Linked DNA regions of Tamandua tetradactyla. The protein of the gene in region 2 interacts with the protein of the main gene of each other region in a biochemical or structural test. Links are inferred from orthologs where the notes say so. Each region holds a gene or a part of one and is shown on either strand. Other genes may lie near its edges. The genes, in order: CASQ2 and TRDN.

Region 1 (15,274 bases), on a different chromosome or scaffold from region 2:
TCTTAAATTGGAAGATAGATGGCTCACAAGGACATTACTGGGACATATGAAAAAAATAGAATATAGACTCTAAGCTTTATATCAATGTGAAGTTTCTTAAACTATAAGGTGGTTACATAAGCAAAGATCCTTATTCTTAGGAAATGCACAGAAACTATTAAGTGCTCAAGGAGTCTGATGCATACAATCTACTCTGAAATGTTTAGAAAATAGATAAATAGACAGGTAGATGGAGAGAATGATATGGCAAATGTGGCAAAATGTTAAAATCGGTAGATGTGAGTAGCTGGGCAAGGAGATATGTTGGTGCTCTGTGTATGAGTTTTGTGCTGTTTTTGCAACTGCTTTGTAATTTTGAAATTATTTCAAAATATAAAGTTTAAGAAAAACGAAACAAAAACTCCCTAGGTGGTTTTAATATGCAGCCAGGGTTGAGAACTGCTATATTACTTTTCAAGGGTCAGGTGAATGAAATTAGCAATTTTCAAACATCAGCTATATTTCAGGCACTCAGTTGGGCATTTCACATACATTCACTTCTCAAATAGCAACCAACATAATTAAAATAATAACACCTGACACTTCTACAACACCTTTAATTTTACGAAGAATTCTTATTCATCCACTTTTCATTTAATTACGTCAACTCATTAAAATAGAAACTACACAGCTGATTTTATAGACGAGTAAAATGAACTGAATCTCTGTGAGTGGCTCAGCATCAAATAGTGGGCCAGTAGAAGAGAAACACCTCGATTCAGGTTCTCTGACTTCCAGTCCTTGGCTATTCCCGACACTGCTCCCTCATCTGAGGATGAGTGTGTAAGGATGGCCGTGACCTTGCACAGCACACAACAGCCATGCTGCTTACGACGCTGGGGCACATTGCTGAATCTGAGGGGGCTGAAATCACTCCCAGCCAAAGATTACTTGATATACAAATCGATTAGGAGACTAAGACCTAAACAAATAAGAGACTACAGCCTTTTAGGGGCCTTGCAGACCTCTTCTGTCACAGATGATGGAAACCAGCACTCTCCCCTCCAATGGATGAGCCATGCTGGGAATACCACCTAAAAACTAGTGTAAAAAAAAAAAACAAACCTTACTACAGTACTGGAAAGTTGATCCTAAGAATCACCCTTCCTGCAGATACACAGGCCAAGAGTTTTTAGGTGGTGGTCCTGTCATTTAATGTCCAAGAGGGCTTGGCAGGAAACCCCTAGGCAAGGCAAGTCATGTGTGGATGACAGAAGAGTATCCCCACAGCTCATATCTGGTGAGCTAAAGTGGGAGCTTCTTAAGCAGAAAGAATAGAAGGTACCCTTTGGGGAGATACCAAGGAGCAGCCTCAGACCTTGCACTCCAGCTGAGTGCCACTGAAAAACAACAGCAGCAGCAGGTCAGCCTGGCATGCAACTATGATGTGGCTATTTTTGTGCCAAGGACCCAGATTGCTTGCCAGTCCAAGGAACTGCCTCATCTGCCCTAGTAAACATTATAAAGCATCATCTAAGCAGATAATGCTGTTTCTGGTCACAATGTGGAAAGCTTTGTTCCATTGTTTATTCATGCTAAAATTATTGAGTGTTAGCAAAGAGCAATGAATATTTGATGAATGAATGAAAGAATGCATGTGTCTATTCATGGATTCACAATAGTATTTTCATGTTATAAAACACTCACCAACTTGATCCTGAAAAAAAAAACTTTGTAACTTTCCTTAATCTAACATATATATTGGCAACAAGTTGGTCTATTTAATTGTTTCCCACCTTCCAACCCCACAAACACACAAACATAGTAAGCAGCATTAATTTTTAATGTGAAATGTGATGTATATTGCTAGAGATTCTAAAACTGAGTTCTGAAGGCCATGCATTCCTCCTTTCCCCTTTTCTTCTGGAGATGGCTTAAGTTGCCATGAAATTATTTCTATGTAAGTGTGAAACTGAATATGGAGATACCTTCCTCTTTTTCTTGCCTTCTTTTTCTGGTTGGAATGCTGATTTCCTAGAGGAAGATAGCTGCTGAGGAAAGAATATGAGCCTTGGAGTTAAAGATAAGATCTGTGTGAAGGTGGGAGGGAAGTGGAAGGAGTTATTGATCCCCCATCTCCTGCTTAGATGTTCTGGAGAGTGGTGATGCCATTTCCAGAGATCTCAGCAACTGATAATGTGGATGCAACATTATTTATGTGCAGCCAGCTCAGTGTCCTTCTGACATCAAGGTAGCTTCCTGCCACCTTTTCACATCACCAGTTCATTCATTCAGCTGTATTTTTGCTCTACACGCAGTTAGTGGACACTTGCCCAATGTGCACTTGATTCAGTCTGAGTTTTTTGGTGTTTTTTTTCACTTCTCCTATCACCAAGTTTGCTTTAAATTCTGGTTGCCTTCAGGAGGCGTCCAATCTCTGGGTGGGGAGGGGAATCACACACATGACTCCATTGGGAGAAAGTAAGTTAGAAGGAACCTGAAGAAAAAGAGAAAAACTTCTCAAAGGAAGTGAGACTGAACTGTGATTGAAAATATGGAAGGGACCTAATTTTAAAAATGGTGTTAATGAGATGGTTGAACGTACCAAGCACAAACTGAGCAAAACCTTGGAGGACTGAAGAGCTGAGGCTGGGGGCGTTAAGAAGCAGTGATTGTGGAGAAGTTTACTCCCCCTCTAAGGGGCACAGCTGGCTATGAATAAGCAAGATGGCATCTGCATCATCCATAAAATGATCTCTAGAAGAAAAGGGAAAAGGAGGGGATAGGCTGGGTGGTATCTAAAATCCAGACTGAAATGGGGAGTGTGGGATGGGAAGGGGCCAAATTTGTTGAGTTCCTTCTACATGTTAAATGCTATGCTCTTACCACGCTACCTCATTTAGTCTTCACAACTATTAGCTCCTCTTTACAAATAAAGAAACTGGATGTAACTCGGGAATTACTTGGGAATTGAACCCAGGTCTATCAGATTTGGAAACTCATTTCAGAATACACCATCTTTCAAACATTCAACCAGAGAAAACATTGGTGATGTTGGAAAACTTTCTCTGACAGTAGTCATAGAACCTGACACAAGCAGTGGCTCATGTCAAAGGGAAAGAGGAAACAGGAAACAAAGGAGAAAAGAGGAATTGAATTCATTGCCCATACCTCATCTTGTATCTCTGAGGCTGGTTTTGCTAATAGGATTTGGCCACTGTGGTGTGACTAAATTTACTGTCTTAGCTGAAGCTATAGGAGATGGCATGCAAAATTGCAACTCCTTTTATAATCTGTGTTGACACCCTGATTGAAAAATGGGAGAAAGACATGGAAAAATAACTCATTCAAGAAAAAATGTAAATGGCAAATAATTTATGAAAAAAAAATGTAGTTAGTTCATCAAAGAAATGTTCAATAAAACAACAATGAAAATCTAAATAAGCAGAGACATGCAATAAATCTGAGGAATTGTGCCAATACCCAAAAATAGAGAAACTATTTTGAAAATATGTATGGTCAGCCACTAGAATAACATCCTAGCATTAAAATCACATATGCAAAGAAAATAAGACTATGTCATGGCATAGGAGCACCTACAATACAATGGAAATGAAAAAAAGCAGGAAGCAAAGCTGTATAAATGCTATAATCCCAATTGAAAAATGTATGTTATGTGTAGAAAAAAATACTGGAAAGAAATCTATTGGAACATTAAACATGTTTATTTCTGGAGGGTTATTTTTATTCCCCTCCTTATTCCTGTCCATATATTCTAAAATTTCTAAATGAGAATGCACTATTTTGTGGCTGAAGGTTGCTCAAGCAGGGATCATGATTACCAGTGATGTAATCTCAGGCAAGTCATGCCATCACAGACCATATCAATGAGATGGGGTGGAGGGTGGGGTCAGAACAAACCAGATGATTCCCAAGGCTTTGATGAGCTCTAACCCTCAATCATCCATTCCACCAGCATTTATAGAACATTTGGAGAAGACCGTATACCATAAACCAGCCCCCGAGACAGATCCAGGCCAAATCGAAAAGCAAAGTGTGAGTTTTGTGCCTCCTGGAGCTAACATACATGCCCCTTTTCTGCTAAAGTTTTAGTGAACTTACATCTTCTCCCTTATCCCCTTCCACCTGTCCACAGAACTCACCACAGAATTCAAACTCAGTCACGTGGAGGTGTGAATGACAGCCTGGTATGGTATGGTATGGTACGGTACGGTACGGTACAGTACAGTACAGTATAGTATAGTATGGTATAGTATAGTACAGTGCAGTATAGTATAGTATAGTATGGTACTATTCCCCACAGAGGGCTCATATCCTATCCTAGAGGAAAAAGGCCCTCATGGCTAAATTTGGAGAAGATGCTAATTAGTGGGAAAGCATAAACATTTTAGAGGTCTCAGAATCTCTGCTCATGCAGTTCCCTCCCCTCCCCTTGCTTTCTTGCCTGGTAAATTCCTACTCAGGTTCACAGATCAGCTCTTCCCTGACATGCCTTCCACCTCACTGCCTCTTTCCTCTGCACTCCCAGAGAATCTTATAAATAGCTCTGCTATTACAGTGACCCCTTTGCACCATAGCTTTTTGTTTGTGCATCTTCTTCCATATTAGGCTACGAGCCACTGGACCCTCATTTTCCCTGTATCCACACCATCTGCCCCAAGGCCTAGCATTAGGTAAATGCCTGACAAATAAATGTATGACTAACTGGATAGGATGTCGAGGCCTCCTAGTGTGACAGTGACCTCCGTGTACTGTGGACGGGGCTCTGTCTGGGTCTTTTCGTTAACGTCCCTTAGATGAGATAATAGAGACCTAACTGACCATAGATGTCTTTGGATTTTTATCGGGATGGGATCGCCCTCGCTAGGAACTTCTAACCCCTAAAGCAATGTTTTTCAAACTGAAGGTGGCAAATCATCATTGGAGAGTGAAACCAATCTGATGGGTTGAAACCAATATAGAACAGAACTGAATAAAATAGAAAAGAATTTTTTTTAATCTAGCATTCCCCACGTAATAATGATGAGTCTTGCCCAATGAAACTTTTGTTGTGTATGTGTGTATGTGTGAGTGTGTGTGCATGTGCACTGGGTCACAGTGTGTTACGATAAAAACAGTTGTCAAAAGCCACCTCCCTCAACGACTAGGAGAGGAGCCCCAACCTTGGCTGCGGCTGTGCACCGGGGATAGCAGCTCTTCTGTCTGTACCCACCGCACAACCACAGCCCCTGGAACCGGTAGAATAGTTTTCTTAGTGCAGGGCCCAGGGGAGTAAGAGGATGAAAATTGTTGTTTTTCACCATGAAGAAAATTGTTGTTTTTCACCATGGCTCATACCCATACTCTCTCTCTACCCATGGGATGCCAGGAGCCATTTATGTCCTGGATTCTAAGAAACAGAGCTTGTACCTTGGACAGGCAGCTGGACAAATACCCCCCTGCCCATGCTTCCTCCCTGGTATGGACGTTGCTGGAGCAGTACCTCCAGAGCGCTCTGCTTCTCTGTCCTCTTAGTGCTGGTATCATTGTGTCCAGAGCTGAGGGACTCTATTTAATCACGACTCTCACAATGCCCCTAAACAGGGCCCCCAGCAGCCTCTTGCACAGTGTCTCATTTGATTCCAGGAGTAGCGCAATGTCTGTTGGAGCTAAGAATGCCTTCACCAGCACTGGATGTGTGACCATGGGCAATGCAGTCTCTCTGTGCCTCAGTTTACCCAAGTGTAAAATGGAGATGGTATTTCTATGTACTCCACAAAAATTCTTGTAAGAATTAAACCAGCTATTATCTAAAGTGCTTAAAACAGAGCCTGTGCATAGTGAGCCTTCAATAAATGTCAGTTACTATTTAATCATCCAATAAGTCTGTATGATAGTTATCATATCATCTTATTTGTAGATTTAAAAAATAAGGTTCAGAGAAATTAAGTAGTCTAGACCATGTGCCTAGAAGAGGCAGAGCCAGAACTTAAGTCCAGATCTCCTGGCTCCAAATTCCCTGTTCTTTTCCCATTAATGATTCTCCATTCCAACTTTAGGAGCCTGTGGGGCACTGGACAATGTCCTGTACTGAACTCTCAGGCACCCACAAGGGAAAAGTGTTCTTAGACTGTCTGAAGGCTTGGTGAGCTCAGGGGAACATCTCCTCCCATGATTTTGCTCGGGGCCCAGAACTTAGTCTTTGGGTTGGATATATACATATGACAGGGAATCAGAGACTGGGTAATTGTGCCATTATATTGGCCATCCAAATCCATAGTTTTGAAACCTTGACTAACTGGACAGTAATGAGTATATGGGATAAAGTCCTAATGTCTTCAGTTAACTTTTCATGTAAATACCTTTCAATAATTGAGTATTGTGGTTTAAGATGGATATGAGGTTTTCCCATTTATTTATTGCAAAGACCTATAAAGTGTCCCTGCTTTCTCTTGCAACCTACAGAGGGAACCGAACTTTCACATCCAGCCCCCAAGGCGGAGCTTGAGGAAAAATGTAACCATCCTGGTGACATTTTTTAAATGCTTAGCATTTTGTTATCCAAGCTTCTCTGCAATGACCACACGTCCATCTGCAAATCTTTTAAACATAGGTACTTGTATGATCATCAAAGACACCTAGGATTCTGAAGTGCTTTTTTTTTTTTTCACATGGGCAGGCACCAGGAATCGAACCCGCATCTCCAGCATGGCAGGCGAGAACCCTGCCTGCTGAGCCATTGTGGCCCACCCCTGAAGTGCTTTTAAAATCATCAAAGACATTTTAATGTGTTCGCTCTAGTTTGCCTGGATTTTATTATGGTCAAGATTTTTTTCTGAGACTCCAAATCCACGTAAATTTAATATGATTTTTCTGTTAATCAAGGTATTTGATTAGCCTGAGCTCTTCGTGCTGGTGAATAGATGGCTGTAAGGTTCAAGGAGCCCTTTGCAGAGTCTCTGCCTGGACTGGGCTGGGCACAGGGACAGATGAGGGATCCTGGTGCCTATTAGAATTCTTGGCACCCACAGGTGATCATAAAATGTAAGTGATCTTGAAACTGTCCAGGAAGAGCTGCAGGGACAGTTCCTGAGTCATTCTCAAAGGTTAAGAAAGTGGGCCTCCGGGTCAAGTGATAACCAGGCCATGTATTGTAGATAGAATAGGAACTGACTTCAACATCTGCCCTAAACTCACATCAAGAACTTTCTGAGAGAGAAAAAGAAAATTCCCATTAATGAATGTGCAGCCAACCTCTTCACCCAGCTATGTGTATAATGATGACCAAAACCAGATCAAGAGACAGGAAGAACATTTAGCGCTAACCCCCAATAGCCATGAAAAAACGAATGCAAGGTCAGACGACTCCTGTTTCTCCAGGATCATGGGGGGATTTAAGGGTGAAGAGTGGAGAGTGAGCACACTGAATGAAATCCACAAAGAATCCCTCAATTTTATTTCAGCCCAGAATTCTAATCTTCTCAGAAAAACTAGCAATGGGGGGGGGGGGGGGGGCGGGCAGGGGGCAAGCTCTTGTCAAAGCAAGAGGGCTGCAGTGTGAAAGACTTTAAATTAGATCCACTCACAATGGAACACTTTTCATTATCTCCATTTTTAAGAGTGGGACCCACCTCTCCTGGTTGACACATCCCAGTTTTGCAATAAGAATATTCTCAGATTTACAGACTTTGGGATATATTCTCTGCACGCTCATGCTTCTATCCCAATGCCTGACCGCTCCTTACCAAAGACATATGCCTCTCCCGCGCCCACGTCCACTCAGGCAATGCGGCAACCGCGCCCCTCTGCTCACCTCCAGAACGATTTCCTTCAGCTGGAACTGTTTCTGTGCGACCTTATCCGAAGACATGGACTCGTGGTAGTAGAGGCACAACAAGTCATACTTCTTCGAAATCTGCTTGAAGTTCTTCTCGGTCAGACTCCCCACTCGGTCCTTCCCGTCGTAGGTGGGGAAGCTCAGACCCTCTTCCGCCCTGCAACAGGCCAGCAAGAAGACCCCCGCCACAAACAGGTGAGTTCTCGTCATTTGGGAAAAGTTGTTTTTCTGTCTCAGAAATACGGGCGCCGAGAGGACGGAGGACAGTTCAACAAGTCCCTGTCGAGCCGGGCGGGGAGCAGAACGAGGCTGGGTCTCTCTCCCCTTGGCCCTCCCCAAATCTGAGAATTGACTCTTCACCTCCTTGGGTCCAGCCAACTCTGTAATCGTGGGCTCAGGACAAAGAGAAAAGAGGCTCGTGCACACATGCGCGTGTAGGATGGGAGGCAGGCGTGCGGGAGCTGGGAGGCCAAGCCCCAGATACCTTACATAGCTCTGCCCAGCCCCTGGCTCATTAGGAACTCCATTTTTAGGAGGCAGTTGTTTCAGGCTAAAAATAAATCATGCAACGAATTAAAAAAAAAGATAGATAGGACACTGTTGAGGGAATCTCGGATACAGTCTGTCAGAGTGGCGGAGCGGGAGGAGGCGGAGGGAAAAGAAGAGCTTGTGAAGTAAGTACACGAGCGCTAAGGGGGCTGGAAAGGTCACAGGAGAGACATAAACTGGACAGGGAAGAAGAGAAAAGGAGAGGAGAGAGAGATGAGGGTCTGTGATGCCAATAAGCCAAAGGAGAGGTGAGAACAGACGCCATGCCACTGACATATTATTGAATGGCTAAATTACTTGACGCAGGCATTCAGCCTGTCCCCTACCTGCTTGCGGCTGACATGAGAACAAAAGGGAGCCCCGAGGTGGACGGTATGATCTGTACCTGCCGTTCCCAGCCTTGAGTCCTCTTTACTTAGAAACCTTCCTGACGGCTGTGCTGCGTGCTGCCCACGCGGCTGTGCCAGTCTGCAGGGGGAACGTAAGGACACCTTTTTCCACGAGTCCAGCACATAAAGGGCTCCAGGGGGTCCCAGCCTGCCCAGGGCCGCTGCCTCCCTGCCACCGGCGCCCACAGCTGCACTCTATGCCGGTAAAGAATCCTCCCTATTTTTAAATGGAATAAAACTTTGACAGCCTCGTTCAGAAACCTTCTAGCTTTTCTGCTACCATCCCTGATATACTGCTTTTTTAACTTTAACCCCTAACGTGGTCATTTTTGCCCCTTTCCTCTTCATTAGAGACAAGTGGTATAGAGAATCTCAAAGCCGAACAGATCATAGTGCAAATTTCCGCTCTATCTTTTAGTAGCTGAATGAACTTTGGAGGGTTAATCACCTTCTCTGATTCCTTGTTATCTCCTATATAAAATGGGAGAAATTGTAACTATTGTGTAATGGAGCATATGAATGGTAGAATGTGCTCCATTACACAACAGTTATACTATGGTTATACTATTATATGTTATAAATAGTTATACTGTTTATAACAAAGTAGGTGCTCAAAAACAGTAGTATATTTCATTCTCACTGGCGATGGTGAAATATTGTTTATTATAGTAATTACTTGGTAGTATCTAATATTTACAGTTTGTGAAGCCTTTTCTGTTCATTTCTCCTTGAGTCCAGCAGGCAGTTGGGACTGAAGTGATTAGTGCTTGCTTTGCAGATGAAGTAACAGATTCAGTGAGATTTAGAAACTTGTCTAAGTTTGCAGGGTTACTAACTGCCACCATGAGAATCCAACTCCACCTCTAGACCTGGTACTCCTGGTTGCTTTGCCTCCAAGTCTGGGCAATTTCCCCTGCACACACCCCTTTTCTTAAGTGGGTCCCTGACCATCTCATCTCCTGGCCAATAATTGCTCAGCTGTGTCTTTTTGCTGTTTAGAGTTGGCTATGGCTATCTTATGAATCTTCCTTCAGTTGATAAATCACCTTTGGAGAAAGAGAGTATCTGTCACTCAGAGGTTTTGTAGGCAACAGAAGAAGAGAAGCTCAGAGGCCTACTTAAGTGAGGCAAGGACCCTCCACTGCAGCCAGAAGGCCTTATGCTGAGATTAGGCTGATAAGGGGTTGGCCTCCCAGGACATTTTCAGGTCCCAGGAAATTTGAAGAGTCCATCACCTGAAGCCTTGATGCATTTAGTTCTTTCTAATGGTGTAGACTATATTTTTTAAAGATGGAGCCAAGAAGAGCCATCCTGAGGTGCAATGAGCTTTCTAGGTCACCGGCAAGCATGCAAGATCTTAGCTTTCTCCAGAAAATTTAAGGAAAAAAAAAATTTCAAGTGAAAGAACGATATGTCTTGTCTTTTCAAGGTCAGCTTCCCAAAACTGTTCCCAGCTGTCTCAATCTCATTGGGTTATTTTAGAATGTGCTCCACCTTTCTTAATATTTAAATTTTTTGTTGTTGTTGTTGCTATTACTGAAAACCTAGGAGATATTTAAAGTCAGAGTCTATAAATTTCCTACTGACTTACAACTGAAGAAAACAACCAGGGAAAGGCATAATTTTTTAAGACTTGGTTTAATCTCCAAGTCTAGCTTACAACCAAAAAAGTGCATTAAGAACAACACGAAACAGTCCACGTGTGGCAATGTCCTGTGTCCAGACCCTAGATGGGGCCCTGTGGCCCAGCCTTGAGATGGTCTGGCCACTGCCATATGCTGTGACCAGGATTCCCTCTGTGCGTCCACCGGTAGATGTGAAAGTCTAAGTGGGTGCCCTATTCTTACCAGGAGATAGTTTTCCATGGTCAACTTCCTAGGTACCAGCCTTCTCTCTGGTGGCCTTTTATTTTCTGGTTTTTGTCTTTTCTTTGCCTTATTGCTTGCCACTTTTTGTGTGTGAACAGTGAAAGCTTCACACATTTTTGAGTCATCTTTCGCTGCGTCTTGTGAATTGTTGTCTCATTCTAGTTTTAGCTGTTGCCCGAGCCCGTGTGTCATGTGCTTCCAATTTTTGTCGTCTTGCCGAAGCGTATGTGTCTTTATGTGCCACTATCAGGACTTTTTTTGTGTTGTTCTGTTGAGCAAGAAGGTATAAAACAAAAACAAATCATACAAATGAATGTTCATTTTTATCGTGACGTATGATATAGGCCCCTTGATTTGCTAATAATTTCCAGTCCTCACTCAGTGAGTCGGCACCCCCTGAGGTCCCTTAATTGAGCCTAGCCCCTTTCATCTATTTATCTTTGATGAGCAGAACGATTTTGTGTGTATTATTTAATTTGACCATCACAAAAAAAAAAAACCAAAAAATCCAATTTACATATGAACCAGGATATGCAGGCACAATCTTTCATTTGCTTATCAAGTAAACAAATATGTATTGAGCATCTTCTAGGTACCAGAGGCTCTTCTGGGAACACCAGGCCTACATTGCAAACTTCGAACTTATGCCCTAAAGGGGAGAAAAACAATAATAAGACAAACAGAAAATCCGTGTGTGTGTGAGAGACGATGTCAAGTTGAGGAACGCATTCCCACGACCAGTTGGGCAGGGGAGGGGAGGCTGAGGGGCAGCGGGTGGGCGGCCCTCTTGGGTGGTGGTTGAGGAAAGCCTCTGTGAGGCGGGGATTTTGCAGCTGAGATGCAAAGGATGCAAAGGAGAAGGCTGAGAGCAAGCTGCTTAGAGACGCAGGTCCCAGCGAGAAGTGGCGGGTGCTTCTGCTTCCGAGGGGATTTCACTGTTTCTTCCTGTCAAGAGTGGCTTGCGCACTTGGACTCTTATTTTTTTGATAAAACGCATGTGCTCAGACCGATCCGTGGAGCATTAAAGCACAGGAATCCACCTGGTCGGCTTTGAGGCCAGGAGACCCGGCCCCTGGGCTGACGCTGGCACAGCCTCCCTGTGCTACCCCGTTCACTCACCTCTTCTGCCCTCACATTTCCAACTTGTGAAAAAGGGAGTCAGAACCGCTGATGTCCTAAGGCTCCATTCTGGACTTAAAAGTTTGAAAGTTTGTTACCCCCATAGAGAATTTTGTTTTACTAGAATAGGCCTTGGCACAGCCCTCAGGCTTGAGGAAGCTTGGTGTCTTATTTGCAGAGGAGGGTTTTGAAGGGTGTGCCCTTTGAACACGTCCAAGCTTGCCAGTTCTCCAAGCTGAGCAGCTCCTCCTAGGACGCGACTGCATCACAGAGGTCCTTCTTTGGCTAAAATGCTCCACCCAGTGGACAAAGCAGAATATGGCATCTTTCTTCATTAGGTCCCTTTACCTCTTACAGCACTTCTGCCGGGCAACTAGCCAGGCCAAGTTCAGACTGTCGACCGGTTAGAGAAGGTTCCAGAAATGCTTTTCTAGAGCCCTGGGATGCATGGCTTTAGGCTTCCTCTGGTCAGTTCAGGACAGGTCTCTTAGCTTCTTAGCAACCTCAAGGCCCTCCTCTCCTCTGAACTCTGAATACCAGGTGCCCCCCAGAGCCTCCTCCGCCTCCCCAACCAGGATACTTCCAAATCAAAACACGCAGAAAAGGACCAATATTAAGTAAAAAACGGATCCCAAAGCTCTACCAATAACAATTCCAGATTTAGACAAATGGTACTTCCTCGGGGATGCTCAGAATGTAGAATGTAGAGTTTTTTCCCTATGTAGACCGAGCTTATCAGAGCAGGGCAAGCTTCTGTCCCTCAGTGACCCCACACAACCAGCCCAGGACTTAGCCCATAGTAGTTCCCATTAAATAGTCAGTAAATAAATCGGCTTTCTGTTTAATAAATACTTAAACAGCACTTACTTTGTGCCAGGCTTTATTTAAAGTGCTTAATTGAATTGAACTTAACTCATTCATTCTTCTTAACAGCCCTATTAGGCAATTTTATTATCCCCTTTTACCACAGGGGTAAACTGAGGCACAGAGAAGTTGGGTAATTGGCCTAAGGTGACATGGTTGGTAGTGGCAGAGCCGCTGCCTAGCAGGCTGGCTCCAGCATCTACTCCCCCTGCCGGGAGCCACCAGCTAGATGGCTTTCCCAGGAGGCTTATGAATTCAGGAATTGCTTCAGAATAGTAGATGGCCGCCTGCCATGTGTGACTACTCAGGGATACGCCCAGGATTTTAGTCTTGCATTGAGCCACCGCCATCGTGTGTGGGATTATGCTTTGTGTGGGCTGGAGAAAACATGGAAGAGAACTAATGTTTTTTATGCTTACCATGAACCAGTCCCTGGGTTCACTACATTTTACACACTGTCTCATTTAAATCCCATCAAGCTGCATATTATTTCTTCCATTTCATGAATGAGGAAACAGGTTCAGCATGGTCAAACCATCTGCCCCAGTCACACAGCTGGTAAGTAGCAGAGACTGGATTTGGACCCATCTGTCTGCTCTTGTCAGGACCCAGTCTGCTCAGCTCAAGGAGGGGGAGCCTTCTCTGTCCCCCTCAGGGGCAAGCAAAATGGAGAAATTCAGATTACATAGAATTTGCATGACAAGAAGATAAAGGGATACCAGCCATTTTTTTTCCTATCACTGTTATGTTACCTGGCATCATTTTTTATTAGCTTCTCAATCATCATCTGGAAAGAAAAAATACTAGAGTAATGTCATTAAAAACAGGTCTGATAAAGAAACCAGGCATTTTGGCAGGAGAGAACAAAAGGAACAGCTTTAAAAACAAAAGGAAATGAGGAGATTTAGTTCAGCAGAAAATGTAGATAAGAACAGATACATGGAAAGTTTTGGGTTAATTTATCCTGGATCCAGAGGTGGGAATATAGACTTCTCATGCAATGAAATTGAAGGACAGGAAAAGCGCTGGCTATAGAGGTTATATCAAAGTGTGCAAATGCAGGGCATGGCGGGCAGAATGATGGCCCCAAGGGGGAAGACGACCAGATCCTAATGTTGGCACCTGTGAGTGTGTTACCTTACATGGCAAAAGGAGCTCTGGGCTGGTGGTTAGGTCGGGGCTCTTGAAATAGGGAGAGTTTTCTGGGAGGTCCAGTGCAATCACAAAGCTCCTTGTAAGAGGGGGCAGGAGGAGCAGAGTGAGAGAAGGAGCTGTGATGATTACAGCAGAGGTTGGAACGCTGAGGGGTCTCAAGCCCAAAGTGCTCAGCAGTCTCCAGCAGCTGGGAAAGGCAAGGAATCGATTGTCCCCTGAAGACCCCAGAAGGGAGGCCACCTTGCAGACCAACTTCAATTTCTGATCCCCATGACTGTGAAATAACAAATGTCAGTTGTTGTAGACCACTAAGTTGGCAGTAAGTTGTTGCAGAGGTAATAAGAAACCAACACGGAGGCTAGTCAGGGAAAGCTCCTCCAACAATGCGGGAAAGCTGACCGTCCTCAGAGCTTAGCTGTTCTAGAGGTAAAGATAATTTGCATCTTCATGTAGCCCATTGTCTGCAACAAACACATATGAGAGAACAGTTCATCACAGTATAGTTGAGCAGACTCTTTTATATTTATGACATAAATATCATAATATTTATGAGCTGGGACAACCATTTATTTAAGCAAGTCATTTCCCCTCTCAAGACCTCCAACTGAGAAGGGCTGAATGGATCAGCTGGAGGCCCGCATGTGCCAAGGGCTGTGCTGAGCACTTTACTTGTAGCAACTGACATATATCCTCACAAACGCCGTGTGAGGAAGACTCTCTGTCTGCCTTTGACAGATAAGGAAATTGAGGCACAAAAAGATGAAGTTACCTGGCCCAATGTCACCCCATTCACAAACGGTGAAGCTGGGATGTGAGTGTGGACGGTCTGGCTCTAGAGCGCATGCTCCATCCTACTGCACTGCACACCTCTGCTAAGGGCTCAGGGCTTATGTATTTTTTAAAAAATAATTAATGACTTTTGACTTCACAGCTCTCAGTAAACCAACAGAAGTATTGGATTTTTAGCCGTGGTCCCCATATTTTCAATAAGCTCAGATCTCAGGAAACATTAATGAATGGGTTATCAGGTCTTCTGAGGCTTGGGAGCCTCAACTGAGGGTGATTGGTGCCCCCACCCCAGGAGACATTTGACAATGTCTGGACACATTTTTTTTTTTTTTTTTTTTTTTTTTTTAAAGAGAGAGGGAGGAAGGGAAGGAAAGACAGAGAGAAGGAAGGAAGGATGGAAGGAAGGAAGAGAGGAAGAAAGGGAAACATCTTTAAACATTTTCTTGTTTTATTGTATTTTGTTTGTTTGTTTTTGTTTTTTACATGGGCTGGGGCCGGGAATCGAACCGAGGTCCTCCGGCATGGCAGGCAAGCACTTTGCCCGCTGAGCCACCGCGGCCCGCCCACATTTTTTTTTTATTGTCACCGTTCAGGGGTGGGCGGTAGGTGCTCCTGGCGTCTGGTAGATAGAGGCAAAAGATGCTGCTAAAAACCCCACAAGGCGCCAGAAAGCTCCTCACAACAAGGAATCAATCGTCTGATCCAAAAATGTCACTAGTTCTGAG
Region 2 (15,742 bases):
TTTTGCCCAGGAGAACTAAGTGAGGTCCCACAGATGCTTAGAGAGGAGGCCACTGAAATCAGGAGCTGTAAACGATGGAACCAGGAACAAGGGCTAGCAGACATGAGCCACATGCCTTCACAGGTGATGATATCGGCCTTTTCGTTGGAGTCAAGGTCTCTTTCTCTGGATACCTTGGTTTGGACATTTTTATGGCCTTAAAACTGTAAACCTACAACTTAGTAAGTCCTCTGTATAAAAGCCATTCCATTTATGGCATACTGCATTCTGGCAGCATTAGCAAATTATAACATTTACCATGCTCCCCGAAAGATTTACTTTTATTTGCAGTAAGAAAATTAATATGTTTTAATGCTAATTTTAATTTCCAGCCAAGCATAACTGTAAAACCAAAAGCTCAACAAGAAAATCTTAAACCACCTATGTGTTCTCTTTTCAAATTGATATATTCAACCTAAAGGTCAATGTGGATGATTTCAAAATTGCTTAGTCACACTGTTTTATGTTTCCTTCATATTAAATATTGTTAACTGATTAAAAATTAATGCAAACAGCATCGGAAGCTTTAAGTCTCAAAGGATTCCTAAGCCTTTAGTATAATAGCTGAATAGCCTCAATTCATTTTTGCATTGTAAAAGTAGCATGTTTTTTAAATTACTGTCACACTGATGACCAAAAATAAATAGAAAAAAATATTAAGAACCATTTAAGCTGATAATCAGAACATTTTCCATAGTACCATGTACTTTTGTGGTGAGGGAAAAATAAAAGTCATTATTACAAATAACAGCAAACACAATTTTAAAAAATATCTCAGCGAAATCCAGCTAGGACTGGCATTACAAATGTATATTTTCTGTTTGCTTTCACTACAGATTTTGCACCTTAGTTGGTTTTTTAAGTTAAAGAACACAAACTTAATTTACCAACTAGAACCGTCTTGCAGAAAGTTGGGCAAAATTCCCCAGCCCTTTTATTCAAAATTAACCAAGGATCCACCCAGCACTTCACAGCTTCACCCACAAAGCCCATTGCCTTCCCTGGGCTGCCTGTGGTTAAGCAGTGAACTAGCTGCTGAACCCAGATTTTTGCTTAAAACTCTGTGATTTCTACTCTATTACACTACCTTTAACTATTTTAATGCTGCATTATCTCAGCTATGCTCTCCTTTTTTGCTCTGATTTTCAGTGGATTATATCCCACTGTTTTCCACGATCTGCATTTGTTCTCTTTTTTTCTAAATTCCACTTGAATAGGAAAAAAGATCGAGAAGTTTCAGAGCCACATCAGTAGGCTTTATGGGATCCTACATTTTGGCTTTTCAGAGTTTTCTGTAAGATTTAAGAGACAGATCTTGGCACATAACATCCAGTGAATATGCATGACATTCTTGTTTAGAATTCTTTTTCCTTGCATCATATTGACTTCTTAGGTTTTTAAATCCTTCTCAGGCTTTCATATAAACCATGTCAAAAAGTTTCTGTTGCTATATAATGTCTCTAACATAACTAATAATTTTGAGAAATGCCATGGAACTAACCTGTGGATTCCATATTTAAACGGACATATTTTAAAGCAATTATTTCCTAGGCTGCTGTTATAAACTTAAAGTACATTTCTGGACCCCTTTGCCTAATACAAGCATATTCGGGATCTTTTTCAATGATAAGAGACTGTTCCTTTAGAAAATAATTTGTACCTATAATAAAGTTGGTAGCCAGTGGATTCACTGGAAAAGTACATCCTTATTAAAATTTAATTCACCATACTAAAAACATCAGCTCTGTGTTTTTTTCTTTTTTCTTAACTCTTTATTATGGAGAAGTTTAAATATTCATAAAAGTAAAATAGCTTAATGAATCCCATATACCCATCATCAGCCCCCCAAATAATCAGTTCCTGGGCAACCTTGCCCCTAAGACACCCCATCTACTCTCCTTTTTTGGAATATTATGTAGAGGGAAGTTTCAAACATCAAGCCATATCATCCATAAGCATTTGAACATGTGTCCACAAATAAGTAGTTTTAAAACATAAGCGCAATATAGTTAGGCTACTAAAATCTAACAATAATTAATTAATGTCATCTAATATCAAGAGTGTGTAAAATTTCCATTTATTTCGTTGGCATTTTTTAAAGGTTTGTTTGAATCATGACCCAATTACTCTACACATTGTGATGGGCTACCCTTTTTCCAGAGTTTCTTTAAATCTGTAATTTCCTTTGGCATCTATTTTGGTTCTGGTAACATTTAAATGAACTGAATTGTCTGTATAATAGAGGCTCTCAAAGACTAGATGACTGAGTCCCTGTGGGGAAGTTTTTAATATATTCCTCTGCCTTTTATTTCTTGAAAATTCAAGGCTGTTTTCTTTTCCTTTTTTTATTTTTCATTGACTTTTTCACTCTTTCTGTCTTTGTTTTTTCTTTCTTTTTTGGCATTCAGAATTGTTAGTTGTAGCTAGCATCTTAATGGTCGGTTAGGTCTGGCCAACAGTTTGCCTTTTAGTTGCTTCCAGACTTCTATCCCTGGGTCTTTGCATTGCCCTCTAGTGCTGCATAGTGGAAAAATTCAACCATGTGCCTAAATGACCTGGGTATAAATCTTTTCACCATTGTGGGCCTCCTCCTCTGAATATAATTTTAAAATATATTCCTGGAAGCGAAAATGATATTCCGTATGTCATCTATTGCTTTCCTTTATCAGAACTTAACCTGGAAGTGAATTTCAAGTCAGGGCAGAGGAGCCACTGTTGGTTTTGTTCAATAAACTCTGATACGCAAATTGGATTTTTTCATTGTCTTAATTTCACCATCTGTCGCCCGAGGTGATGTAACTACTTGGCACAGTTGCTGTGGTAGATTGAATCATGTACCCAGAAAGAAACATGTTCTTAATCTTAATCTATCCCTGGTGTGAGCCCATAGTAAGAAGGACCTTTTGAAGATGTTATTTTTAGTCAAAGTGTTATTACCCAACCGAGTAGAGTTGGGCTTTAATCCAGGTTACCGGATCCTTTATATGCAGAAGGAAATTCAGGCAGAGACAGAGAAAGCCCGAGAGAGGAAAAGAAGTTGGAAGTCAACAGAATATGTAGAAGACCAAGGAGTGGACATTTCCATGTGCATTGTCACGTGACAGAAAAGCCAAGGACTCAGAGGGCACAAGCAGTCGGACCCAGGATGCCCCAGGCTTCAGTGGGACGAATCACCTTGCTGACGTGCTGATTTTGGACTTCTTCTAGTCTCAAAACCATGTGCCAATAAATTCACGTTGTTTAAGCCAACCCATGATAAAGTATTTGTTTTAGCAGCTGGGAAAGGAAGACAGTTTCAAGGAACCCTGCTGTGAATTCTTAATCGCTTCTCTTGGCAGCAATAATGGGCCACCCTCTCCTGCAGTATCTGTCAGAAAAATATGTGAAATAAATTTCAATTTTTGCTCTAAACCTCTCAGAGGTTTGATTGCTACAGAAGCAGTGACTCATGGACTTACTTCCAGCAAGGAAAGAGTTCCATTAGTACAATATCCCCTCTCTGGAACCCCCAAAAAATTTAATGAGAATGACAGGCAGTGAAGTTGGCTAAAACAATGGGGATGTGTTGGCTCACAGTTTTGAGACTAGAAGAAGCCCAAATCAAAGGGTCATCAAGGCGATGTTTTCTCCCAGAAGACCGTGGATTCTGGGACTGGCTCCTGGTGACCCTTGGTCCTTGGCTTTTTTGGGCATACAACAGTGGTCATATGGCAATGCACATGGTAGCTTCTTCTGGATTCTCCCTTCCCTTACAAGTCCTGCTGATGTTCAGCTTCTGGCTGCTCTCTCTGGCTCGCTCCTGCTCTCTCTGTGATCCTCCCTACAAGGTCTTCAGTGATAGATCAAGATCCATCCTCAGTCAGTGGGGCCATGACCTGACTGATGTAACTTTCTGTGAAGGTCCATCTTACAATGGGTTTCATACCTACAGGAACGGACTCAGTTGAAGAACATGTTTAACTAGGGCACATAGCTCCAAGCCACCAAAAAATCTTCAAACTTTCAGATAAGCATTTCCTTTAACTAGTAAGTGCTGAATGAATTATATATAGGATCGCCACCAAATTGAATTCCTAACAAAAATCAATGTTTTCATATATTTTCGAGGTCCTTGGATCCAGAAAACACCACAATTTTATAAATATTCTTGTGAAAGAATTTAATTGCATCTTAAGTAACAAACAACTTGAAGACAATGCACGTATTACCAATTGTCTAAAAGTCTCCACCATTTCCCACAAAGCTATTAAGAATTAACTAAATTTTGTTGCATTATCAAAATCACTCAGAAGGTAGTGTTGCATAATAATATAAACTGTCAAATAGATGCTGAAATTGGTGGTTGTAAGTTCATGTGATTTCAGAAAGGGTTGCCAACGTTGGTGCTTGCCAGGAAAATACCGGGCCTCTGGAAGGAAGGTAGAGGGCTATTTATAGCCCTAAACCTGAGTGTTGTTTGAGTCTAATCCAATCAGGGGTCTGCTCTAGTTTGTCCAACATAATGCGGTAAGGGCCAACCCTGATCCAGGGCGCAGGGTAGGTCCTTGTCAGCCTCTGAAGTGACACCAGGCTAATTATCACTCTCACACAGCCATATTCAATCCCACTTTGGGCTCAGAGATCTGCCCGTGAACCCTAGCTGCACCGCAGAGAGCTGTGTGAATTTAGGCAAATTATTTAACCGTCCTAAGCCTCAGGCTCCAATTCTAAAAATAGGAATAATACGAGTATTTACCTCATATGGCTGTCCTGAGGACTAAATGAGCATATGACAAGTTTATTCCAGTGCTTAAAATTTAACGTCTTTTCAATAATTGTGAGCTGTTGCTATTGTCATTGTAAGTATTATCTTTATTAATTTATCATGGCCAGAATCAAAGGGCCCATTTCTCTAAAATCCTTTGAGGTTCAACTGTGCCCTAATTCTAGTTCCTGGAGCAGGAGCTAGATAAATTTCCTATTTAGCAGTCTTTCCCTTCTTCCTTCAGATGTCATAAGCCTGCTTGGAACATTGAGAGGAAATCTGTGTGAGGGGCACAGCCATGCTCATGGCCATGTCATGTTCTATAAGATGCAAAAGCACTGGGATAAGCCACAAGAGAAAAGAAATGGATCCTTAGACCTGCCCTATTATCAGTGACCATGGGAGAACGTATAATCCATATGATATACTCTTACAGAAATTGAGGTGAAGACATTGGACTAGAGCCTTAAATATTCAATCTGGTTGCATGACTTGTGATCAATGGACGGAAAGGACAACCAATAGACACAAAGAGACAACTGTCAAGGAACTTACATTTCAGTTATATGTCCACAATGGGTGACAAAGAATCACAGCAGGCTGAGATGGGTTATGTAATTTGCCTAGGGTCACACAGTTCCATGTGGTGTAGTTAGAATTCGCACCCAGATCTCAGAGCCCAAAGAATATTTCATCCTGAGGAATGAGCCTGAACTAAGGCTCAGAACTAAACTAAAGCTCTTACAAAAGACTGAAAGAGGGAGGGCCACGGTGGCTCAGCAGCAAGAGCGCTTGCCTGCCATGCCAGAAGACCCAGGTTCGATTCCCAGTGCCTGCCCATGTAAAAAAAAAAAAAAAAAAAAGACTGAAAGAGGGCTCAAGTCGCTGAAGGGGAAAAGTGTGAGAAGAATTATGAAGACACAGCTGGCAGTGCAGAGTTGAGCAGTGCATGAGAAATTTTGGGATAACTACAGAGAATGACTATGATACTAACCTTAAAATGTAAGATTGTTTGAGTCAGCAGTCTAATTGTCATTTGAGAAACACCATCACTAAAATCATACCAAAGACGGAGAAAGCAGGTAATTGATGTTCAGGTAACCTAGAACCCATAAGCTGCTAAGACCACGGAGTAGGAAAGGAATGACCATCATCCATGAGTAGGCAGCGTCTATTAATTCAGTTATTTTTCACGGGAAGCTCCAAGGAGCCCTCTAAGACTGCAATAGGACAGGACAGAAAGGAACATTCTATATCATAAACAGGCATTCTCTTGCAAAAAGTTTTCTGAGTCCAACGCAAGGTATAGACAGCATAATTCACCTGCAAGACAAAAATGTTTTGGCCAACTGATCTTCTGAACCAGCTGGCAGGCCATGTCTGCACAGAGGTGGGGAAAATACTCATCAGTATCCTCATAACTTGTGCAGCGGGAAGCAAGAAGTTTTTATAGATAGCCCCCTTTAAGTCAAACTGAAGGTAACATGACACAGAATAGCTATGGAGTAGGAAAAATGCAGTTTATATTTAGTTAGAGAATTCTGAACTAAAACTGGTAAAGAACAAACCTGGTATCCACTTACAGCAAAGAAGAAAAACAAAACTACAAGCTAGATTTAAGGGACATGGCTTTAAATCTTGGCAATGTTGTGGTCTTGAGCGAGTCACCCATCATCTGTCACGGTTTTGTTTTCTGCAAAGTGGAGACACTAATGCCTAATTTACTGGCTTCTGTGAAGCTTGCATAAGTAAATACATTTAAAACCCGGAGCAAAATACCTGACACGTGGATATTGTTAAGTAATTTTTTAAGGTAATTTGGGTTGCTAAACTAAATTTCTCACTGAAAGGTACAAGTAAGGAAATTCTCCTGATAAATATTGACTGAAAAATCTCCAACACTACCATCAGTGTGTCCACACTAATGTATCACCAAAGCGCCTAAAACCGGTCCTGTATTTTATGCATTGATTGTTCTGTAAATCCACAACTTCCACATTAAGGGAAAGAACAAAAAAACAAACAAAAACCACTGGCACAGCACTGAATTTGGAATCTGTCGGCAACACCACCTGTCTGATTTTCTTACAGCTGTCAGAAACAAATTTTAAATCCACCTCCCCAATTTTTACCCTAATGGAAACCAGATTCTATTTTCAAAATGTTTTCCTTTTTATCGAAGGGTCCTTTTCTTCAAGGGAGATATATATCCCTGAAAAATTATTGCTACCGTGCACCCATGGACAAATAATAAAAATTATACGTAATGGCATGTATCTTTTCAAAGTAAGCTATGAAGCAGAAAATATTTCTTTTAATATAAAAGATAGAATCCACCATTAAGGGAAAAGAGAAGTGAGTTTGTGAAAAGAATCAGAGAATAACATTTAATTGCCTTATTTTAAAAAGACATTATTCACAATGATTCTGTGGAATTCCACTTTAGGCTCCAGGTTTCCACCAGTAATAGAATACAGACAATTTGTGTGGGAGCATTTATATCTTAAATTATACCTAAATATTATATATATGTGTCTGTTAATATGGTTGTGTTCTGTGGGAAAAGGGAAAAAAAAGACAAACTTAAGATCTCCATTTAAAAATATCATAAAACAAAAATGCTCAAAAATCACTTTTAAGTCTAAAGTCAAATGCAGTGTTTTAAAATGATCATGGCCTCCATCCTTACAAGTCTTGCCCTTTTTGCTAGGTAAGATATCAGGCAGAGTGCTGCCTGACTGTAGCTATTTATAGCGGTGCTGGTGACAGCTGATAACTGCGGGACCTTTGGCACAGCAAAGAACAGTTTTCACATGCAAAATTTCACAGAGAAAACTCTTCTCACTCCCACAACACATCGCTCTCGGTCAGCTTAGCCTCTCAGCTCCCCAGTCCACCGCTCTCTGTAATCTCACAAACATGGCAATTGCCTAGAAACAACATTGCTACATTGTTACATTGACGGTCAAGGAGGCTGTCAATTCACACATTTTCCTCCCCTACTCGACACTCTCAGCAAATGGTAGCAATACCTTCAGCGGTGATCTCGGTCATGGTGGTCTTTGGAAGTAAAATCAGGTGGCAGGTCCCAGTTACGTGGCACTTTGCAGAATCCTTTGGATTCCAGAACTCTGGTAGGGGGTTCTGTGTTGAAACGTGGGTGCTCTTCCTTTTCCTGGCTGTTTGTGCTGCTTCTTCGTTGTCCTGTGGAACTTTGTCTCTTCTCCACTGAGTTCTCCCCCTGGAAACAACCTGAGCCCTTTCCAAGCAGCACTTGTGGCTTAGGCTGAAGTATCAGCTTCCTACAAAAATAGCCTCCTCTCCCTAGGACTCTTCAGCACTTTTTTTTTTTCCCTTTTGGCACTCTAGGGGAACACACACACACAACCCCACACATGCACCAGCTCTCCAGCCCCAGAGAGAGATAGGCAAAAATAAATAAATTAATAAATCAAGGCAACGGGACTGAACAGCACTGTCTAAGCCCCCACAGCTTTCCAAAGATAATTACAGATCTTGGGGTCTATGTCAGAAAACATGAAATAAGGAGTTGAAAGTAATCTTATCCCTTGATAGTTCAGATTTATTCTTAGTGCTCTATGCCTCAGTGCATTCCTCCTTCCCTTATTTGGTTTGGGGAGGGTCCTGTAATGTCTCCCAGAAGCAAGGTGGGGGGGGGGGGGTAGTCTTAAGTAATTTTCTCCTATTTGATTCTCTATTGGTACAAAGCCACTTAGCAAGTGCAGTTATTTTTATAGGCTACAATTAAAATGCAACCCTTAAATCCAGGAGCTTCTTTCTAAAATAGTCATTTTGCAGGAGATTAAGATTTTTCCAAACACTGGCTGATGAGAAATATGTGACATGAAGTTATGTTATGACACTTGAGAACCAATGAATTACTGGCTTTTTAATTCTTCAGTACCTTACTGAGAACAAAATATCTGAATTTATCTATGCAGTCAATGAAAGGGCAGGTGATGTAAAGGTTCAAAATCCACAAGCAACGCTGTAGTAAGAGATTTCAACTTTTCCCTACCTCACCTTAAAAAAAAGGGGGGGGGGGATCCTAGCAGCTAACAATTAGCCAAATTGGCTGATTAGCATTTCACCTTCCCACTCTCACACAGGGGTTAATGAGCAGAGGAATATTCAGTAGCCAGTGGGGGGAAGGCAAAGGAGAATCAAAGGGCATGGATGATCACAAACTCTAGCCAATTCTTGAATAATCAGGGGTGGACTACTCTCATCTCTTGTTTCATCATTCTGTTCAGCCTAATAACTTCTGTTAGTTGAATGTTTGGTTCAGCTTTACCTTACTGCCTTTTGTCAGCAGAACCTTTTGAATGAGTATGGTACTTCATAGATCATAGGAAAGGCACACATGGGGTTGCTGTTGTTGTAATTTTTGTTTGTTTTAAAACCCAAGTCTCAGAAGAGGGTTGTGACAAGCATTTCCATTGGCAATGACCTCCCACATGCCGATGGTTCTGTTTTTATTTGCTGACTCAGGTTCATAGGCACAGTAAGCACAATCGCAAGTGTTTACATGTCAGCTGAACAAATAGATTAACAGCAAGGACTGTTAACTCATAGGAGAGAATGATTCCAGGGAATGTTCCGGATTTTATACCAGGTTCTACACCTACGCCTGAGCCCAGACGCTTTTAACTACCAATCCCATACTTTTTCCAAGAGGTGGTGCCTTCCTGCAGACACTAGTAATTGCAGGTAAAGAGAAACACTAAAAATAAGTCTGCCAATTAGATGAAGGATACAAAATCCTCGCAGGAACCTTATGGGCACTGGGTTGGTGGCCACTTTCTAATCGGGAGGAGGTAGCCTCAGAACAGAGTTCATATTTTGTCCCCAAAGGCATCTGTATTTAATATCAACATATTGCTTCCAATTTTAGGAAGGCAGCATTTCATACCTTACTCTGTGACTCACTTTCAGTCTTTCACTGTGGTAAACTGAAGAAATAATAATGCCTTGTGTAATTCATGAAGAATATGCATGGGTCAGGGCCTAAATAAAATTAGCTAACTTAGAGGGAAAAAACTCAATTTCAAAATCGTGTTTAATATAAACTGAAAATAACACTGAGTAAGAATATTAAATTCCCAATGATTGATGTTACTCTTAAGTTCCAAATCACTAAACTCATGCTATACATATCAGAGGGAAGAAGAGAAAAAGTATTCCAGCCAATAAAAAAGTTCAAAAATAAAACAATCTGTGATATGAGTTTATGAATTTTATTAGACATTGCAAAATTAGGGTATTTCCCATTTTGAAGAGTTATTAGCACTTTTTCAAGTTATCTGAAACTCAATTCATAAGGTACATATTTTGAATTACAAATGGAACTTTATGAAGATTTCCAAAACCAAGCAATCTACATTCTTCTAAGGAACTCAAAGAACAGAGAATAATAAACCATCATTTGTCCTTTATTTTTGAGAAAGTCATTTAAAAGGAACATTACCAGTTCAATGGGTTCTAACATAACCCAAACATGGGCGTTCTCTCTTCTCAGTAATAACATCTCATATATTTTCATGCTTTCCTTTTCTGTAGGGTCAGCAGTTAGACTGGTCATGATTTTACATACAGGAACATTTAAGAAATTGGGACAGTAATAACAAACTTTTTCTATATAAATCACTGGTAAAACCTGAAAGTTTGGCCTCCTATTAACTGCTGCATTTAGGCTAAGATGCCACTTCAATTTGATGATGCTGATCATCATACTTTATGATTTTCACTCTATGTTCTAAATACTCAAGTTAGTAGACAAAAATATTCTACCTTAGAGAATTTTTTTTAAACCTGGTTGCTTTGTCAGCTATTACCAAAAAGAAACAATCAGCAAGACATCTACTGCATTTGGCTAAGAAAAATATATTTCCACCCACATCGAATGTAAAAGAATCCAGGAGACAATTAGAACAGTTCTTAGGATTTTTGGTTTCCACCACAAAATATTAACAATAAAATGAAATGAAAAGGAGCTTTAAGACCACGCTGCAGTATCTTGTTCAGTGTCATTTTGTTTTTTCTGTGGTGAGAAGAGAAATATTGAGAACAAATACTTACTTACCTCCGGTCACCTATTTTCTGAAGGACTGGAAATATTTGAGAGAAAGTGAAATTTTAGGATACTCCTTAAGATCTTCTTTGTAGTGAATGGAAAAATAATAAGAGACTTTGCATAATGTAGTAAGTATAATCAGAGTAGAAGTCAATTTGTGGGATATCCAGTTGGAATAAAAAGTATTCTTCAATTGGATCTTAAAATAAAATATTAAATAATTAATTAATTGAAATCATTGGCCATATGAGTTCTAGTTTTCAGGTTCATTTTAAATAGGAAAAATAAATAAATAATCAGCCAGAATGAATGGGTGGAAAAAGGGAACCCAGTGTCACAATTAAAAAATTAAAACGCAAACAACATGTAAGCTACTATCTGATGCCTGACTTAAAGTAACTTACAAGGGGAAATATATAAAAGAGAAATGCTTAACTTTAACTTTGTAAGTGAAGTAAAACTTGGCAAAAGCTATAAATATATATGAAAAATTGGCTTTTGGTAACCTTAGAATGAAGATATATAGAAGAAACTAGGACCATTTAAAATGAACTTGAGGGCCACTTGATGTATTTGCTTTCATTTGACCTTGAAATCCCATCATATGACCCAGAAATTCCTCTGAAGCTTCCACCTGATAAGAATAGTCTTCAGAAATCACAAGAAAATTCTCAACTGAAGTACAGATTCATTAATCTTATTTCATCTCAGGGCTGCTGTTCACTTCATTTTAACATGTTTTGTGTTCTATTTGTGTCATGGAAAATCTCATTCTGCCCTCATTACTTTCTCGAAGTGGCCTGTGCTCACTTCTTTAATCAAAGGTTGAAAGTCAGTCCATAGATTTGGCTTACCAACTGATTATTTAGAAACTGTATAATCCAGATCGTTTCAAATGACACAAGGCATTCCAGCACAATTAAAAACTTTCCCCTCTTAACTCTGACTCATAAATAGCTGAGTCTCCAATATCAGGCTTCTCTCCTCACAGACATTTGACATTGTCAAATATTCTCCCATAAATTTGCCTGCACTAATCTAGTCTTCAGTTAACAAAGCAACGGATGCCCCTTTCTTTCTTATAAATTTCATTGTCTGAAGATCTGGCATCTGTCCGTTGCTTTACCCTCTATATGATGATCTGCACTATCCTGTACTTGGTAGCCCCTACAGGGCCCATTATTCAGATTACTCCATTCTGTTCTGCAGTCTATCGCACCCAACCTTCAACTTATTATAGTCCTGGTTGCTATTAAAAGTGTCCCACTTTTATGATTTATGCCTTTGGATGTTCTTATAAATACCTTTCTTATAAAAGGTTAATTATCTACTGATCAGTTCTTAGATTAACAAATTTCTTTTTCTCTTAAGCATTGTAATGGATATTGCTCTTTGCTACTATAGAAAAAGAATTCTCAGTGACATAATAAGAATTTTGTTCTTTACTCTTACCATGATTCGTTTTATCAACAATGCAATCTATTGTATCTGGTTTATCATTACCAAATACTACATAGCGTCATCAACTTTGTGAACTTATTTATAAATAAAGAAATTACTTATTAATTCCATTATTCAGTCAATATATATATATATACTAAGCTCTTCCCTAAGCCCTGGGCTAGTTCTAATGATACAAAAATAAGTAAAACAAAGGTTTGGACTTCCTGTTGATTATAGTATGGTAAGAGAGTCAAAAATGTAGACCAAACACTATAGGTATGATAAGTTCTAGAGAAGAACAAAGAATAGAGTGGCAGAAAAGGAGTAATCAACCCTGCTTTATGGAACAAAGAAAGCTTTAAGAAGGCCGGCATATTGGAGCTGGATCTTGAAGTATAAGAAGTTATTTAAATGAATGGTTGATTGAAGACATACTTTCCAAGTAGAGGGAACACTCAGGAAGAGTAATGGAGGCTTAAAACACCATATTCTTTAAATAGTTTGGAAAGATTTGGTCACTGAATACTTATAAGGAAGCTATGGAAAAATAAACAAAGGAATAAAAAAGAGCCTGATACTAAAATGTTTTGTTAGACTTACTAAGGAATTTGGGCTTAATGTTGATTTGGGATGACACTGAAGCATTTTAAGCAAGATGAAATGATCAGTTTACCTTTCAAAAAGACTGTATACAAAAATAAAATGGTCACGCATCTTTCTCAAGACAATTTTAAGGGGGCCTTGGAACAAAAGCCAGATTACAGAATGTGGGGCAGATGGAAGCTCATGAAATGAGGAATAAGCATAAATATGCTTTTGAGAACTTGTTTGAAAAGGGAAGGGGTAGAAATTAGTGAGAATTAGAGGGGATTCATGGAAAGAAAAGGATTTTCTTTTAAAGATTGAAGAGCCTTGAGTGTTTTTATCCTTTGAGGGAAGGAATGCAGTACTGAAGCAGGAGAGGTCAAGAATATAGGAAATGGAAAAAAAGACTAGAGAAAGAGCTTGTAGCAGAAGGAAGGTTAAAATTAGACTCTTTTAGACACTTTCAAATATAATAAAATTCTTAGTAAAGTTAAAGTTAAAAGAAAGGAAATAAGAAGGGGCACAAATGGAATATATTAGAGGGGGAAAAATAAAATGAATTCTTACTTGATGGAATTATTTTTTCCATGAGGCAAATGTTGCATGCTAAGTAACCAAGGGTTAGAAGTGGAAATGACAGTTTGAGGAGTATTTTAAAGATTTCATAAAATTTGCAGTGGTAAGGGGAGAGCCAGCCTCTGAGGATTGCATAGTGCTACTGAGAGGCCAGCTGGATTTAAAAGACCACATGTTTGTAGTAACAAATCTGAACTTGCATTGGTTAGAATAATGTAAGAGGCTGAAGCAAAAAGGTCTCCAAATATACCTCTTCAAACAAAATAAAAGCCTATTTCTCTATTGTGTTGACAGTCCACAGTAGTATTCCAAGTCAGCAGGCTGCTATTCCCAGTGGGGTCATTAGAAATCAAGGCTCATGGTAGCCCTGCCCTCCTTGGGTGGCTTCCAGGATTGCTCTGGTGATACTTACTCCAGCAGCAGAAAGCTGGAAGAGACACGGATAACCTCCACTTCTATTCCATCACGATGATGATTCCTGGTCACACTCAACTACAAGGGTGTAGAATTGGGGCTGGCGTTGAAGTCTCACTAAAACACTATCAGAGTAGCAAAGTCTCCACCTCAGGACCATTTGGGGATTCTCTGCAAGCGTGTTGGTAAACTGAGCATAGGAGCTGTGTCGATGTTTGGATTAAAACCTTTGGGAAAGCATAGATGTGAAGAAAAATTTTAGCTAAGTTTCAACCTAAACCATGGAAATGGGAAGAGCAGTCTAGAGATGAGAGTTTTGGAGAAAATGCATGATCTAAAGGGCTTTTATTTAAAGTAGAGCCTAAAGATTACAGCGTATATTTATAAACCAAATATTTTTACATTCAGAATGTAACTTAACATCTAAACCCATGAAGAGCTGCAACATCCAATGAATATTCATGTGAATGAGGAACAAAGGTGTACTTACCAAGAATTAAATTATTTCCAATGGGTGTATATCAAGACATTGACTTCCACTTTTAGAAGAGGTTTTCTAGCTTTTGTTTATTCAAATCTCTTTTCTCTCCTTTTATTTGGGGAAGGGGGTATAATGCCAGCAGAATATACCTCTGCAGAGTATTTCATCAGTTCAAATTAAAGTTGTATTTTACAGTTGTCACTGATATATGACTTTGAGAATATGAATTGCTGTATAAGTGTTAAATGTTCCCATCCTCATGAAAATCACATTTCACCTCAGAGCCTTGTCTGGTTGTGTTGTTCATTATTCATTCGAAGTCAGGATTTTCCATTTTCAATATTATAATTAATCTGAATATTATTCAGAGCTGTCACAACTGGCAGATTGTCAGCTTTCCTTGACCTCCTAACTTGTAGTCACTCATTTAAAGTATATTATTTTAATTCTTAATCTCCTTCCAAACAAAACAGAACCATTTGCTTTGTGTCTCTAAAAATCCCATTTAACAAAACAGACTCACTCCTCTTTCCTCCCTCCTTTCCCTTTTATTTAGCAGGAGTTATTTTCTCTCTTACATGTCCCGACAGTGTCAGCCTGACTACCTGAAAGCCAAAGCATGCAGGATTTGCATTAGGAAGAAAAGTACTTGTTTTGTCAACTTTACATCCCACACAGAAATCGTGAGCTCTAAGGTTAGAATAGAATTTCAAACCAATATAAGTGGTATTTCATGCTGGGAACAAATTAGAATTGTGAAAGGCACAATGCTTTCCCATATATGAATCCATGCTGTGTTCGCGTGGTCACTAAATAGAAGAGATGTTTGGATATGAAGAATAATGGAGACAGCACCCTTGTCCCATGATGCCTCCTCCAGTAGAGAAGCCTGTTATATATAAATCGTAGGCTCAGTCCTATAATTTAGAAATTAAATTAGAAAGTTTTCTGTTAAAAGGCAAGTAACATTTGGAATACAAAATTATGTTAGAGAGTGCATTGCACATACAGAGGCCACATTTTTCAAGTTTGAGTCCTTTGCAGACACTGCTTATTAATCAAAGCATCCTCTCCTACTGAGCCTGGATACAGTCTCAAAATTCTCTTCCACAGGGCATATCTTGAAGACAGTAGAGTTTCTCCCATTTGACCCTTATGATGATGCTAATTTCCATTAGCTGGGGAAAAGGGTAGGGGGTAGGAATTAGGAGGGAGAGGGTTGAGACCCCACTGAAAGAAGAAAGAGCGGCATGCCAATGTCAAACTTACAGCCCCTTTAAACTGGGTTTAGGGGTGGTTGTGTCTCTGTAGAGTTAAGTGTTGAGCATTATAATCTGCAGAGACAATCAATTCTCACAATTTCATT

The links.
Region 1: the proteins of TRDN (region 2) and CASQ2 form a complex in vitro, tested with the Homo sapiens proteins (3 studies listed by BioGRID). The link is inferred for Tamandua tetradactyla from reciprocal best matches to the Homo sapiens genes TRDN and CASQ2.

The regions. Positions count from the first base shown.
Region 1 is NC_135337.1:5,379,196-5,394,469, reverse strand, and holds the start of CASQ2 (calsequestrin-2), read right to left. Parts: upstream 8,149-15,274; 5' UTR 8,027-8,148; coding exon 7,793-8,026; intron 1-7,792. UniProt on the Homo sapiens protein: Calsequestrin is a high-capacity, moderate affinity, calcium-binding protein and thus acts as an internal calcium store in muscle. Calcium ions are bound by clusters of acidic residues at the protein surface, especially at the interface between subunits.
Region 2 is NC_135331.1:184,772,045-184,787,786, forward strand, and holds the start of TRDN (triadin), read right to left. Parts: upstream 8,101-15,742; 5' UTR 7,838-8,100; coding exon 7,816-7,837; intron 1-7,815. UniProt on the Homo sapiens protein: Contributes to the regulation of lumenal Ca2+ release via the sarcoplasmic reticulum calcium release channels RYR1 and RYR2, a key step in triggering skeletal and heart muscle contraction.